Saccharomyces cerevisiae S288C: one gene and its partners. The gene in region 1 interacts genetically with each later gene. Each region holds a gene or a part of one and is shown in the gene's direction. Other genes may lie near its edges.

The links.
Region 2: mutations in NUP42 (region 1) and ASM4 together harm fitness more than expected from each alone (negative genetic interaction), as found in Saccharomyces cerevisiae (4 studies listed by BioGRID, with this or other methods).
Region 3: mutations in NUP42 (region 1) and POM34 together harm fitness more than expected from each alone (negative genetic interaction), as found in Saccharomyces cerevisiae (5 studies listed by BioGRID, with this or other methods).
Region 4: mutations in NUP42 (region 1) and SLX9 together harm fitness more than expected from each alone (negative genetic interaction), as found in Saccharomyces cerevisiae (3 studies listed by BioGRID).

The regions. Positions count from the first base shown.
Region 1 is NC_001136.10:842,794-846,917, reverse strand, and holds NUP42 (FG-nucleoporin NUP42), read left to right. Parts: upstream 1-2,056; coding exon 2,057-3,349; downstream 3,350-4,124. Other genes in the region: MSS116 (ATP-dependent RNA helicase), read left to right, coding at 1-966; NAD-dependent histone deacetylase HST4, read right to left, coding at 3,469-4,124. UniProt on the Saccharomyces cerevisiae protein: Functions as a component of the nuclear pore complex (NPC).
Region 2 is NC_001136.10:297,761-302,137, reverse strand, and holds ASM4 (FG-nucleoporin ASM4), read left to right. Parts: upstream 1-2,134; coding exon 2,135-3,721; downstream 3,722-4,377. Other genes in the region: YDL086W (carboxymethylenebutenolidase), read right to left, coding at 1-725; LUC7 (Luc7p), read left to right, coding at 1,139-1,924; NUR1 (Nur1p), read right to left, coding at 3,864-4,377. UniProt on the Saccharomyces cerevisiae protein: Functions as a component of the nuclear pore complex (NPC).
Region 3 is NC_001144.5:178,042-181,439, reverse strand, and holds POM34 (Pom34p), read left to right. Parts: upstream 1-1,833; coding exon 1,834-2,733; downstream 2,734-3,398. Other genes in the region: PSR2 (putative phosphatase), read right to left, coding at 1-1,152; MEU1 (S-methyl-5-thioadenosine phosphorylase), read right to left, coding at 2,819-3,398. UniProt on the Saccharomyces cerevisiae protein: Functions as a component of the nuclear pore complex (NPC).
Region 4 is NC_001139.9:642,325-645,739, reverse strand, and holds SLX9 (Slx9p), read left to right. Parts: upstream 1-1,959; coding exon 1,960-2,592; downstream 2,593-3,415. Other genes in the region: GCD2 (translation initiation factor eIF2B subunit delta), read left to right, coding at 1-880; TOM complex receptor protein TOM20, read right to left, coding at 1,145-1,696; twinfilin TWF1, read right to left, coding at 2,732-3,415. UniProt on the Saccharomyces cerevisiae protein: Involved in ribosome biogenesis. Required for normal pre-rRNA processing in internal transcribed spacer 1 (ITS1). May be involved in the movements of the replication forks.

The DNA.
Region 1 (4,124 bases):
CAGTCTGTCGTCATTTCAGAAAAGTTTGCCAATAGTATATTTGCTGCTGTGGAGCATATAAAGAAACAAATAAAGGAAAGAGATTCTAATTACAAAGCCATTATTTTTGCACCAACTGTTAAATTCACATCCTTTTTGTGCAGTATTTTAAAGAATGAATTTAAGAAAGATTTACCAATTTTGGAATTTCATGGTAAAATTACTCAAAATAAAAGAACAAGTTTAGTTAAAAGATTCAAAAAAGATGAATCCGGTATTTTGGTTTGTACGGATGTGGGAGCCCGTGGTATGGATTTCCCAAACGTCCACGAAGTTTTGCAAATTGGTGTTCCATCTGAGTTGGCTAATTATATTCATAGAATTGGTAGAACAGCCAGAAGTGGGAAAGAAGGATCTTCTGTGCTATTCATTTGTAAAGATGAATTGCCATTTGTTAGAGAGTTGGAAGATGCAAAAAATATAGTCATTGCCAAACAAGAAAAATATGAGCCCAGTGAAGAAATAAAATCTGAGGTCCTAGAGGCAGTGACCGAAGAACCGGAAGACATATCAGATATTGTAATAAGTTTAATCTCATCCTACAGATCCTGTATCAAGGAATACAGGTTTTCTGAAAGGCGCATACTTCCTGAAATTGCTTCCACTTATGGTGTACTGTTAAATGATCCTCAATTAAAGATTCCAGTATCCAGAAGGTTTTTAGATAAATTAGGTTTGAGCCGTAGTCCAATTGGTAAGGCAATGTTTGAAATTAGAGACTATAGTAGTAGAGATGGAAATAACAAGTCCTACGATTATGATGATGATTCAGAAATTTCTTTCAGAGGCAACAAAAACTATAATAATAGGAGCCAAAATAGAGATTACGATGACGAACCGTTTAGACGCAGCAACAACAATAGACGCTCATTCTCCCGTAGTAATGATAAAAATAATTACTCCAGTAGAAACAGCAACATATATTAGAAAAGATAAAAAAGGAGGACCAAGAGATGTGGGTTGTATTTTAAATAACAATTCCTCTATTAAGACGCCTGTATTTTAGACCCCATCTTGATTCAATACTTTCACGTGTAAATACCTAGTATATAAATATTAAACAAAAATTTTTTTTCTTCTCCTATTCTCTTAAAATGATAACTATACGAAGATCCTACTGGTATATTTATTCGTCAATGCTTATTTACGACCGGTACCTCCATTCTTACTTTCGCTCTTCCTCCTCTCAAAGGAAAAGTAATTCTAACATTGTAATTCTTATTTAAACGGATGGAAGAAAGCTTTTGAGAATTTACTTGAAAAGTCAGGGTGTCTTAGGCGATTGATCACGGACATAGCCATATTACGAAAACTTCATTCTGAATATTGCCAACGAGACAATCGTGGGCTTGGTAATCGTTGAAAAATTTTCACATATTTTATGAACAGCTGAGCCTATTAACAATGAAAATAGTCTATACGATAGTCCAGAACTGAATAACAGTGTCAATCACTTTTTTTTTTATGATTAAATCCTAGTTAAAGTGCCGCTCTGCGAAAGAAAAATCAATAAATACCATTTGTTAGTGATCTAGCAATAATATCAATGACATCTTGTCTTATCTTAAAAATAAACAAAAAATTCTTTACAGTGTACTGAGCATTAATCTGGCTACGGCCTGGAGGGAAATTATGTCTTATACGAATTTTGCTCCGGCAATTCTATTTACGCTGTTTAGCTTATCATGCGATTTCAACCTTCTTTATATAGTAAATTAGCTTCGAAATAAAAGTATTCGCGAGAGGACAAGACATGAAACCTAAACCACGACGCTGAAGGTAACGACATCATAATACGTTTCAAAGGGCTAACCTTAATATACTGACATCTAGAAATATATTAATTCTGCATATCAAGAAACACGCCGACTGAGGGTGCAAGGTATTTGAAAAAAAATAGTGAATCAATAGATGAGCGCACAATGTTTAAAGTACTATAACACTGAACTGTTGTACTTTAACGCAAAAGCTCATCAAGCTATCATTAAATTTCGACCCGAGCAACGACTCAACTGTAATGTCAGCTTTCGGTAACCCATTCACGTCGGGTGCTAAGCCTAATCTTTCTAATACAAGTGGTATCAACCCTTTCACAAATAATGCTGCTAGTACCAATAACATGGGAGGAAGTGCATTTGGAAGACCTAGTTTTGGAACAGCAAACACAATGACAGGAGGAACCACCACTTCAGCATTTGGAATGCCCCAGTTTGGTACCAATACAGGCAATACTGGCAATACGTCAATTAGCGCTTTTGGGAACACCAGTAATGCGGCTAAACCGTCAGCATTTGGAGCACCAGCATTTGGTTCTAGCGCCCCCATCAATGTTAATCCGCCTTCTACTACGTCAGCATTTGGAGCACCGTCATTTGGATCAACAGGTTTTGGTGCTATGGCGGCGACAAGTAATCCTTTTGGTAAAAGTCCTGGCTCAATGGGCTCTGCATTTGGTCAACCAGCTTTTGGAGCGAACAAAACTGCTATCCCTTCTAGTTCGGTTAGTAATAGTAATAACTCCGCATTTGGTGCTGCGTCAAACACGCCCTTGACCACAACTTCTCCTTTTGGTTCACTGCAACAAAACGCATCACAAAATGCATCATCTACATCGTCAGCGTTTGGCAAACCGACTTTCGGCGCAGCTACTAATACCCAGTCGCCATTTGGTACTATTCAAAATACAAGTACAAGCAGTGGGACAGGAGTATCCCCATTTGGCACATTTGGAACTAATAGTAATAACAAATCACCTTTTAGTAATCTACAGAGCGGAGCAGGCGCTGGTTCTTCGCCGTTTGGTACTACAACCTCCAAAGCTAACAACAACAATAACGTGGGCAGTAGCGCATTCGGAACGACGAATAATCAATCTCCTTTTAGCGGAGGTTCTGGGGGCACCTTTGGTTCTGCTTCTAACCTCAATAAAAATACCAATGGCAACTTTCAATCTTCTTTTGGTAATAAAGGGTTTTCATTCGGAATTACACCACAAAACGATGCCAACAAAGTCTCGCAATCGAACCCTTCATTTGGGCAAACAATGCCAAACACAGATCCGAACATAAGTTTGAAGAGCAATGGTAACGCAACCTCTTTTGGATTTGGACAACAACAGATGAATGCTACTAATGTCAACGCTAATACGGCCACCGGAAAAATTAGATTTGTTCAAGGGTTATCTTCTGAAAAGGACGGTATTCTAGAATTGGCCGATCTCGCAGAGGAAACACTGAAAATATTCAGAGCAAACAAGTTTGAACTAGGCCTTGTCCCTGATATACCTCCACCACCTGCATTGGTTGCATAGTAAGGTCAAAGAAAAACATACAAAATGGTAACTTAAACAATATATATGAATATATATATATATCTAATGAAAAATGCATTAATTTTATCTCCAACCTTTTTTGGTAGGACAAATACTTTCTATAATAATGAGGTAACATGCTGACAATCTCCCAGTACAACTAGGTCTACAAATTTCAAAGAGTCTAGCACATTCTTAGGCGGCATACTGGTGTTTAAATATAACACAATACCCCTGTTTGCATGGACTTTGGCCGCAAACTGCCTGCAAATATTTTTCACTCCGGGAATCTTCAAACTCGTTCCAACAATAATCAAACAATCAATTCTTTTCTTTAAGTCATTATTGGCAATTTCACCGATAAAATCACCTTCAGGGTGGACCTCATTGTATAAAATTACTCTTGGACGCAACTTGCCCACACCAGTAGATCTTAAGCCTGCCATTTTTCTAACTGTTTCATATTCTTCACATTGTGGACATGACGGTATGATTTCAGTCCGAGAATCAAATTTGTCGTCGCATTTGAACAGTTCAGGGTCAAAAGGTTTGATATTCAGACATTTATTGCATTCCATGTGTTTTATGCTTCCGTGTAATTGTACTGTACTGGGTATTGGCTTCGCCAGAGGCACATTAGTTGATAAATGAGGTAATTGTGTATCTAAACCGTCAATATTCTGCGTGTACAGTCTCAATAGCCTGCCATCCCTAGCAAACTCATTGAGCATTTCATGAAATTTTGTAGGTTGGCAATTCTTGGATAATCTGAACA
Region 2 (4,377 bases), 550 kb from region 1:
CTTTGAGTGATAGCGGAGTCGAACCTGCCCTTGCTGAACTCGTCACGGATGAACGCATGCTGGGCAGCCAGGATTTCCAAGAACGTAAACTTTACTCCGTGGTCTCTGAGGGTCTTTCTGATTAGATCGCGGCCTTGCGGGTCGACATGGGTGTCCGCAGTTCCGAAGATCAAAACCATTTCTTGGTTATTACCCAACTCCTTCGAAACACGTTCCAAAGAGTTATCGTTCTGGCCAAGACCTAAGGTTCTGGAATGGATGTCGGTAGGGAAGAAGCAGGTTGCGCAGGTAACCCTTTTGTCCAGGAGCGCTCTAAAAGCCAAATGGCCACCTAAACACATTCCTGTGGAACCAATTCTCTTACCATCGAATTGGGGTAACTGGAAAAGTAGATCGCAACACAGTTTGTTGTCCTCATCGTATGATTCTAACGGCTTCTTGATCTTGTACTCGTTACCAATATCGGTACCCTGCACGTCATAGGGCAACGCTTCAGGGCCCATAAAGTTGTGGTATATGGCAGGTGCCACCACAACGTAACCTTCAGACGCAATTCTTTGACCAAAACGACGAACCGGACCCGTCACTTGGTAAATTTCACTGTACAGAATCACCCCAGGAAACTTAGCTTGTGGATAGCCTGCAATCTTAGGAGAATATACGTATATACGCAGAGTGGTGCCGTATGATGTCTGCACATCATGAAAGGTCTCAGTAATCAACATTGTTTGCTTTATCTACTACCACGAGTTTATTACGGCGTCATTTTCAGTCTGACCCTTCTTTTATATAGTTTCTCCTAGTGAGGTTTTTCCGATAAAATTTCTTCCTGATCTTCACAAAGCATCCAGCAAAGTAGGAAAAAAGCTGAAAACCCGACGAAGGGTACTTGTTGAAAGCCATTGAGGTATTGATGGTTGGTGGTAGTATGCTATCTGAAGATAGGCCACATGATTTAGGTAAAGGAGCTGGCCATCGCTAACTGACTAGTCGTATTCTTCCACATCATGGCAACTTCCTTAATGTATTACCCGAATAACCGCCGAAGCCTCAGGCATTAGAGAAGAAAGAAAAGAACAAAAAGTTATACTACAAAAGGCTCTACACTCCCAGCAGAAAGCTGCCAACTACCGTCAGAATGTCAACTATGTCAACGCCTGCCGCAGAACAACGCAAACTCGTCGAACAGCTGATGGGCAGGGACTTCAGTTTCCGCCACAACAGGTATTCGCATCAAAAAAGAGACCTCGGACTACACGATCCCAAGATCTGCAAGTCATACCTTGTTGGCGAGTGCCCCTACGACCTGTTTCAGGGCACCAAGCAGAGCCTGGGAAAATGCCCGCAGATGCATCTTACCAAGCATAAAATTCAGTACGAGAGAGAGGTCAAGCAGGGCAAAACGTTTCCCGAATTCGAAAGAGAATATCTGGCCATTCTATCTCGGTTTGTTAATGAGTGTAATGGCCAGATATCCGTAGCACTACAAAATCTAAAACACACCGCTGAGGAACGAATGAAGATTCAGCAGGTTACCGAAGAACTAGATGTCTTGGACGTGCGGATAGGCCTAATGGGACAAGAGATTGATTCTTTAATTCGTGCAGATGAAGTCAGTATGGGTATGCTACAGTCAGTCAAATTACAAGAACTGATTAGTAAAAGGAAAGAAGTTGCAAAACGTGTACGAAACATTACAGAAAACGTGGGCCAGAGCGCCCAGCAAAAGTTACAGGTTTGCGAGGTGTGTGGGGCATACCTATCGCGTTTAGATACAGACAGAAGGCTTGCTGACCACTTCTTGGGGAAGATTCATCTGGGATATGTCAAGATGAGAGAGGATTATGATCGGCTAATGAAGAATAACCGGACAACTAACGCCAGCAAGACAGCTACTACACTACCCGGAAGACGCTTTGTGTAGGGCCATACATAAAAAAATGATGCTAGAAAAATTTTGTTCGAAGGAGAGTACTTATGAAAGAAGAAAGGTTTGTGAATATCACACACATACCTCTGCATAGTTTATTTCCCGATAAGGTAGACATATCGTTTCCCTATCTATTTAAGTTTTTTATTCGCTCTCTTTTTTTTTTTTTCTCTGTAACCTGAAAACAAGGAACGGCAAATTAAAATGTTTGGAATACGTTCAGGCAATAATAACGGTGGATTTACTAACCTCACGTCGCAAGCACCACAGACAACCCAGATGTTTCAATCGCAATCACAGTTGCAGCCACAACCGCAACCGCAACCACAACAACAGCAGCAACACTTGCAATTCAATGGATCATCCGATGCAAGTTCTTTACGATTTGGAAACTCACTTTCCAATACTGTAAACGCCAATAACTATAGTAGTAATATCGGTAACAATAGCATCAACAACAACAACATTAAAAACGGCACAAATAACATAAGCCAACATGGCCAAGGGAATAATCCTAGCTGGGTGAATAATCCTAAAAAGAGATTCACTCCTCATACGGTGATAAGAAGGAAGACAACAAAGCAAAATTCTTCTTCTGACATCAACCAGAATGATGATTCATCTTCTATGAACGCTACTATGAGAAATTTCAGTAAGCAAAATCAAGATTCCAAGCATAATGAAAGAAATAAGTCTGCGGCAAATAATGACATCAATTCTCTGTTGTCAAATTTTAACGATATTCCACCCTCCGTTACTTTACAGGATTGGCAACGCGAGGATGAATTCGGTTCTATTCCATCATTAACAACTCAGTTTGTTACCGACAAATACACGGCGAAGAAAACAAATAGGTCAGCTTATGATTCCAAAAATACTCCAAATGTTTTTGATAAAGACTCTTATGTTAGAATAGCAAACATTGAACAGAACCATTTAGATAATAATTACAACACCGCCGAAACAAACAATAAAGTCCATGAAACATCTTCCAAGTCTTCTAGTTTGAGCGCAATTATCGTATTTGGCTATCCTGAATCAATTTCCAATGAATTGATTGAACACTTCTCCCATTTCGGTCATATTATGGAAGACTTTCAAGTATTGCGATTGGGTCGCGGGATTAACCCCAACACCTTCAGAATATTCCATAATCATGATACAGGCTGTGATGAAAACGATTCTACTGTTAATAAATCTATTACTTTAAAAGGCAGAAATAATGAGTCGAATAACAAAAAATATCCAATATTTACTGGTGAAAGTTGGGTCAAACTCACTTATAATTCTCCATCTTCTGCTTTGAGAGCACTGCAGGAAAATGGAACCATATTTCGCGGTTCTTTGATTGGTTGCATCCCATATTCAAAAAATGCGGTGGAGCAATTAGCTGGCTGCAAAATTGATAATGTCGACGACATTGGAGAATTCAACGTTTCTATGTATCAAAATTCCTCCACATCGTCGACATCTAATACACCATCCCCACCAAACGTAATAATAACTGATGGCACTCTTCTGAGGGAAGACGATAATACTCCTGCCGGTCATGCTGGTAATCCAACAAATATTTCAAGTCCAATAGTAGCAAATTCTCCGAATAAGCGGCTGGATGTAATAGATGGCAAATTGCCATTCATGCAAAATGCAGGACCGAATTCGAATATTCCTAATCTGTTGCGAAACCTAGAATCGAAAATGCGTCAGCAAGAAGCGAAATACAGAAATAATGAACCTGCTGGTTTTACGCACAAACTGAGTAATTGGTTATTTGGTTGGAATGACCTATAACAGAAATCGTCCAGCTAATTATTCATGAACATTTACAATACTTCATACATTTATTATTTTGATAACTTTTCAAACAGCATTGTTTTACTTTTGTTTATTGATTTTTACGTAACTGTATATACTTAGACATAATTAAGAAACGTTATCTTTTGTGATAGTTCTTCTTTTTCTTTGGAGAGCGAAGAATGGAATTAATATCATTCTTATTCAATACATTGAACTCTGAGCCTTCAAACCTTTTCTGTCGTGCGCTTAAAGGCGTTTTTCTCAATGGGCTCAGGGATTTCGATGGTCTATTTTGGTCTTGATTCGGCAGGTAAGCTCCGCCCTTCTCTAAATTTTCATTTGACGATGATTGAGCCAAATTGTTATCCAAAACTTTATCCCTATAATATGGGGACATTCTAGGAGAATAATGAAAACCAATGGGATGACTTTGATGGTCAGATACTTGAGAAATGCCTCCATAATCCTTTATTCTGGTTTCACGGGATCCTGGCACACTTTCTGTCATTTTCGGTAATGCCTCAAATTCCCTTTTTTCATAATTATAAACCTCTCTGATTTCTTCGCCACATAGGGAGTGAGTGGTGAATATTCTCGGTGTTTTAGATCTAGTACCCATTGCAGATGATAGAGTATCTATATTGCTGCAT
Region 3 (3,398 bases), on another chromosome or scaffold:
TCCTGATGAAAGGTCCTCCAAAAGTGGGATAATATCTAGTAACTCATTATCATGAGTATCAGAGAACCAAGAAGATATCGGAACAGCATGTTGCGGATGAAAGATGTAAGAGGCCGGCGAATTATCTAAGATGATTGTTTCGGACAATGGTCTTCCGATCTGCGATAAGTTCTTGATGTAGTTACCTTCGTAGTTATAACAAGCTTCTCTGAATAATCGATGATGGATGGTTCCATTAGGGTCCAACGTATCTAAAAGGGGGTTTGCATACCTCGAAACACTTGCCGTGAACACAACAACTTCGTATAGTTGACTCACCCTGTTCAAGAACTCATCGACGCCTGGCCTCTTAATAACATAGACATTGTGAACTTGATCATCGATTTCGACGGGCAAAACGAAATCAGCTGAATGCATATATTTAAAGGAAGAATGTACCAAAGTTTCGTCTAGATCCAATATCAGACATTTTTTCTGTTGAAATTCTTGCAACTTGGGTGGTAGCAGAGTGTCGTATCCGGGGGCATGGTACTGGTCTGGTTGCAAATGCGTCAGGTCAGAGAAGTCCTCCTCCGTTGTAGGTATCAAGTTTAAATCATTATCAGGACTGCTGGCGACATATTGTGGATTCATATCTTCTTGACCCACCTGATACAGACCCTGTTGTGGTGGCGCCTCGTCATTAATACTGGAATTTCTATCTGCGTCAACGTTATATTCATGAACGACATGGTCTTGCTTTTCTTTTGCTTCGTCATCTTCTTCTTCTTCTTCTCCGGCATTGTTAACCTCCGTCATTTCTACGTCTCCTTCATTATAATCTTCATATTCTTTCTCCTCATCGTACGAGTTGTTGGAGTGATCTCTTGATAAAGGTGCTAGTTTTCCATTGCCGCTATTCCCATTCTCCTGCATTGTCTTGGAACCCGCATTGCTGCCTGAATCGGAACTAGACAAAAGGATCTCCGGTGTGGAATATTGCATCTTGTCGCCGTTTGGAGTAGCCTTCTGCTTACGACCCTGAGTTTGAGCTTTGTTTGAACTGTGCTTACGGTTGCGGTTGCGGTTGTGATTAGTTTCTGGTGGTTGGCGTTGACGATGTGTTTTGGAAGTATCTGAAGAACAGCACAGTATATTTGCTATAAATCCCATCTGATGATGATCTGAAAAAGCTCCCTAAAACAGACAGAGAAGCACTCTTCACTCAGTTTTTATTGCCAAATAAGTGGAAAATTAAAACGAAAGAACTCAAAAGCAGCACTGCGCTCGAAGAAAGATATATCTTAGCTTAAATCCTCTCCAAAAGGGGAGAACGAAGAATATGTGTAAATTAAGCGATGCTTCGTGGGTTTCTTTTACGCGCTGCGAAAAAGATAATCAAATCTCTAAATTTTAGAAATATAAGCCAGTCGGTAGCCCCCACAAGTCAATTATATATGTCAAAGTTCGTGGCACTGTGGACTGCTTTCATAAAGCTTCTCTTTATCTGTTCCTTAGACTGTGAATACTGAGGTTTTCTAAAAAAAAGCAAAAAAAAAAAAAGAGGGTCCAAACCTATTAACTTCAGGGTTTAAGTATCTTTTTTGTAGGTTATAATGTTCTTTTTATAAACCTTTCTCAGGTTATAATAATATTTCTCAGGTCTAATTAGGGCTAAAGTCTAAAGAAAAATGAAAAAAAAAAAAAATGAAATTTGTGCTAATAGTAATAATGATAGAAATAATAACAATTAATAAGATGGTTATGATGAACAAAAAGATTTATATTATAAGAACTTGACAATATACAGACTTTTAATATATCCGCAGAGGCAAAAAAATAATAGAGGGAACTATGAAGATTCAGGCGGGCCAATTGGGCCTGGACGATAATGACGTGCCGGGACCATTGCCGGACACAGACAGCAAACCCTCATCACAATCACAAAATGACACACCAATGTTTAAATTGGGCAACTTTGAAAGTCCTGTGCTCAAGGAGCTATCACGGCGAACGGTAAACAAGGAAATGGAGACGCAGAGAATTATGACAAACGTAATTGCGTTTGCGTTCTGGAACCTGCTGGTGAAGTTCATCAAGTTCTTTTGGAACAACACTCATGTTGGGAGACAGTTTTGCAACCGGCTATCCAGAATCCATCTGTACATGTTGACATTTCACACGTTAAAGAAGGCTAACATCATATATCACACCACGTTCAGTTGGTTGAATGCAGAACTTCTTGACTACTTGTTCCACCTATTAATCTCGCTCAATATACTGTTTTCTCTTTGGAAGCTCTTATCCACCGTCAAAGTAAGTGATTTGAATCTCACTGACAGGCAAAAGAAGCTCCTGGGGGTAGACATGCAATCATCTGTCGATACTGGGTTGCAGCCACAACACCCCCACTACGTATCCACTTCTAAGATCAGCCAAATGGCACAGAACAAAACACATATTCCTCAAACAAATCTCAAAAATCATCCAGCATATCTCTTCAAAGGCTTAGAGACGCCTTTGAAAGCAAGACAAAGGGAAATGGCGGAGGAACAGACGAAACTACAATCTCAATCCTTACACACAAAGAATGTATTTGGCACACTGCAGAGGCATAGCGGTATCAGTAGCACATTAGTGAGCGCTAACAATGACAATAACTCGCCGCATACCCCTGTAACTAGGAAGGGCTACATTCCAAGTAGCAAATATGCATATATGATGAACTCACAGTCCCCAAGGGGGAAAATATAAAAACAGCAAAAAAACATTTAATACTTTCCATAGCTATATATGTTTTCTCTCCTATTTATATTTTACATATGATTAGCGGCAACCATTACCAATAGTTTGGAAATAAGTATCTTAGTCTTTCTAAGGTTTCCTTGGACATAGCCTCTGGTTTGGTAGAGATAGATTTCTTGATGGAACCGCGCAGCCCATCGCCAGTATGCATGAACTCTGGGATTTCCTTGGCCATTGAGACGATGATCTTAGAAGCTAAAATATTTGCATTGCGCCCATTATTCGTCAAATTACCAATAACGGTTTCTACGGTAACAGGTTCTGCCTCATCTCTCCATGCGTCGTAATCGGTAGACATACAAATCATCTGGTAAGGCAGCTCACACTCACGCGCCAATTTGGCTTCTGGAATAACACTCATGTTAATAACATGGCCACCAAACATTCTGTACATCTTGGATTCAGCGCGCGTGGAGAATTGTGGGCCTTCCATACACACAACGGTCATATCCTTGTCGTAATGCAAATGGCACGGTTCTTCGGATTCAGGATTTGTTATCTCGTTCTTGAATTGATAGATATACTCTGCGAATTTTTGAGAGAACGGCTGTCCGAAACCAACGTGACCTACCAAGCCTTCATCGTTGAAATATGAAGAATGTCTTATGCCTTTA
Region 4 (3,415 bases), on another chromosome or scaffold:
CGACAAAGCCGCCAAAAAAGACCTTTGTGAGAAAATTGGGCAGTTTGCTAAAGAAAAAATCGAACTGGCTGATCAACTAATTATAGACAATGCCTCTACACAAATTGAAGAATCTACTACTATTGTGACATATGGTTCATCAAAGGTTCTAACTGAACTGTTACTGCATAATGCAATCAGTTTAAAGAAAAACATCAAAGTGATTGTCGTCGATTCGAGACCACTATTTGAAGGGCGGAAAATGGCAGAAACTTTAAGAAATGCTGGTGTCAATGTTATGTATGCACTTATTACAAGTTTGGATACGATATTCAATATGGATGTGGACTATGTGTTTTTAGGAGCCCATTCTATCCTATCTAATGGGTTCCTATATTCAAGAGCTGGGACAGCAATGTTGGCTATGAGCGCTAAGAGAAGAAATATACCTGTATTAGTCTGCTGCGAAAGTTTGAAGTTTTCACAAAGAGTACAATTGGATAGTGTCACATTTAATGAACTGGCAGATCCAAATGACCTGGTTAATATAGATTACGAAAATCCAGTCGAGAGACGCGGTAATAAAGGTGCGTTATTAAACCAATTTATCAAAGAAAGAAAATTTGAAAAGAAAAAGCTAGCAATGGAGAATAAGCCAAAGGGTAATAAAATTGGCGGTAAGAAAGGATCTGAAGGAGAAAGCAAGGACGCCAGTAATGAAGAAGACAGCAACAGCAAAAATATTTTGGATGGTTGGCAAGAGTTACCTTCGTTAAATATTGTCAACATCTTATACGATTTAACACCACCAGAATATATTAAAAAAGTGATCACTGAATTCGGCGCTTTGCCACCTTCATCTGTCCCTGTTATTTTAAGAGAGTACAAAGGTTCCGCATAAGCATATACAACATTCGTTAATGGTCGTCCACGTGTGTATACTACATATATATTATATATATATATATATATACATATATATATATATTACACCTAATACGATGAAAAAATACATCTAATGAAAAGAATTGTTTTTATCCTTAGCTTTCCAAAAAGCTTGGTATATATAACAAGATTTAGGCTAGAGAAATGATGTAATTATATAGGGCTATATACAGAGTAAAAGAAACAAAAACGGAGAAAAAAAGCAAGCAAAATGTTACTCTCAGTCATCGATATCGTTAGCTTCAGCAACCGCATCAGATTCGGCCTTGCTTCCAACAACTCCTTTAACGAAAGAAGCCACATTAGCAGGAGGCAAGATGGCAATCATTAATATAATATATTCGTAAATGGCTTCAGGAATGGATCTTTGGTAAATTCCCAATAAATCGGCTGGCTGAGGGTATACAGTCAATGCTTTATAAAACTTAGAGGCTGCTTCCAGTTCCTTACCTTGTTGCATGGATAATCTTTCACCATTTTCTACGTTGGTGGTAAATGTAGCTTCTCTTTCGGAGGGATCACTAGGGATGGGGTCCTTGGCTAATTCCATGGATAAGAATTCGGTAACCTTTTGCAGCTTCACTTCCTTAGCATGAGTTTTAGCTTGTTCTTCCATCTTGGCCTGCTCTTTGGCCCTTTGTCTCAACACTTTCCTGAATTGCGGGCTATTTCTTCTTTGATAGTCAAAGTAGATAGCATAACCGGTGGCTGATAGAGCTGCTATGGCTGTTGTAATAGCGAGGCCACGTAAGATAGGGTTCGACTGGGACATAATAGAAAATAAACTTTATGAAGGTGGCACTTGAGGCAATGTTTCTTGTAGGTCTAGGCGAAGGGACAATAGGTAAATAACGTAAATGTCGGCCATTATCAAGGTGAAATATTCCTGTATAAAAAATGTTATTCGGCGCGAGAAACTGAACGGGGTGACGCACTGCAAATTTTTCATGTTTTACATACTCAAGCATTACAGACTCGATGAGCAGAGATAAGAGACAGGAAATCCATTGAATATAGAAGCATAGATAAGCGATAATGGTTGCTAAGAAGAGAAACACGCTTAGAAGCAAAGTAAGTGCAAGAAATAGTCAAAATTTTGGACCAGACGTAGCGAACAATGGCATTCTGGACGAGAGTTATGACATAGAATCTGATCCAAGGGCCTTTCTGCACCAACCTAAAGAAACTAAAAAGGAAAAGCTACTTAACAGACAGAATACTTTCTTATCTAACTTGAAGGGGAAATCCACACTTAACGATGGCATAGCTGCCAATTTTGATGGTATTTCTAAATCTTCCATTAGACGTAGGAAAAGAAAGCTAAGAGAAGAACTAAAACCAAGAATGCAAGATCTGCTCACTTCTTTGGAGCAAGAAAAGGATTTACGGGGCATTATTGAAAATAGTAGCAAAGACATGAATAACGATGATGACATCGACATGGATTCTAAAATAAGGTTTGTGGACACAAAGGAAATGAACTTGAAAAAGATAGAACCTGGTTCTGTTAGGATAAAAAAGAATCAGCCAAATATCAGGAACCAAAAGGGTGCAAAGGCATTGGCTGCTAACGAAACTGCAAGATTCAATCAGGTCCTAACCAATCAAGATTTCCAAAAAAATCCATTTGGCGCCTTAAGAGAGGTTATCAAGCTGCAAAAACAATGAACATTAAATAGCATAGCATAACAATTTTTGCCAGTGTAATATATATTCCAGCAAACCTAGAAAAACATTCAGTTTCATATTTAGAAGAATAAAAACGTATGTATTGTTGGTCACACATATATAGATGCCATTTCTATCTCTATGTTCTTCTTTTCCTCAATGGGCCCTTTGGTTTGTTGAATTTCAAATTGCTTTTGTTTGGGAGATCTGGATTGGATCCATGATCGAGGCTATCTTCTTTATTTGTTGCCATAAGTAAGGACTTGTCTAGTTCCACAAAATCGCCAATTTCTACCACTTTACTAAATGCGATTTTTTGATCATTTTTCAAGTAGTTGATAAATCCATTCTTGTTAGAAGCATATATCATTCTATCTTTGACTTTGCTGCCAGAGGGACAAGAGTAGATAAAGAAACTTGAATCACCCTGCCTGAAAATCGTGTAACTTGGCCCGGGCAAGTCAATGTACAGTTCATCTACGGAGGGACATGTATCAGATTGCACGATCTGGATGGTTTCGTTCGAGGGATCGATTTGAAATATGATTAAATTTTTACCCTCGCTATCCAGTATTTCATTGATAGGTTTCTCAGAATTGACCCTGAAAGTTAACGATAAAGGCGAAGCACTGTCCTGAGAAACCAACTTGACGGATGTGTTTTTCCTTAAAAGTGCCTGTTGCTTATTGATTTCGATTTGCATTTCTTCATCATGTGTCAAGGGCTTATTCTGGCCAGCAGGACGGGCACTATCAAAATTTTTCAAATCCACCAAGTCCTGTGCATCTGTGATCAATGGCTGTTCGGTGGATAAAGAGTTTGA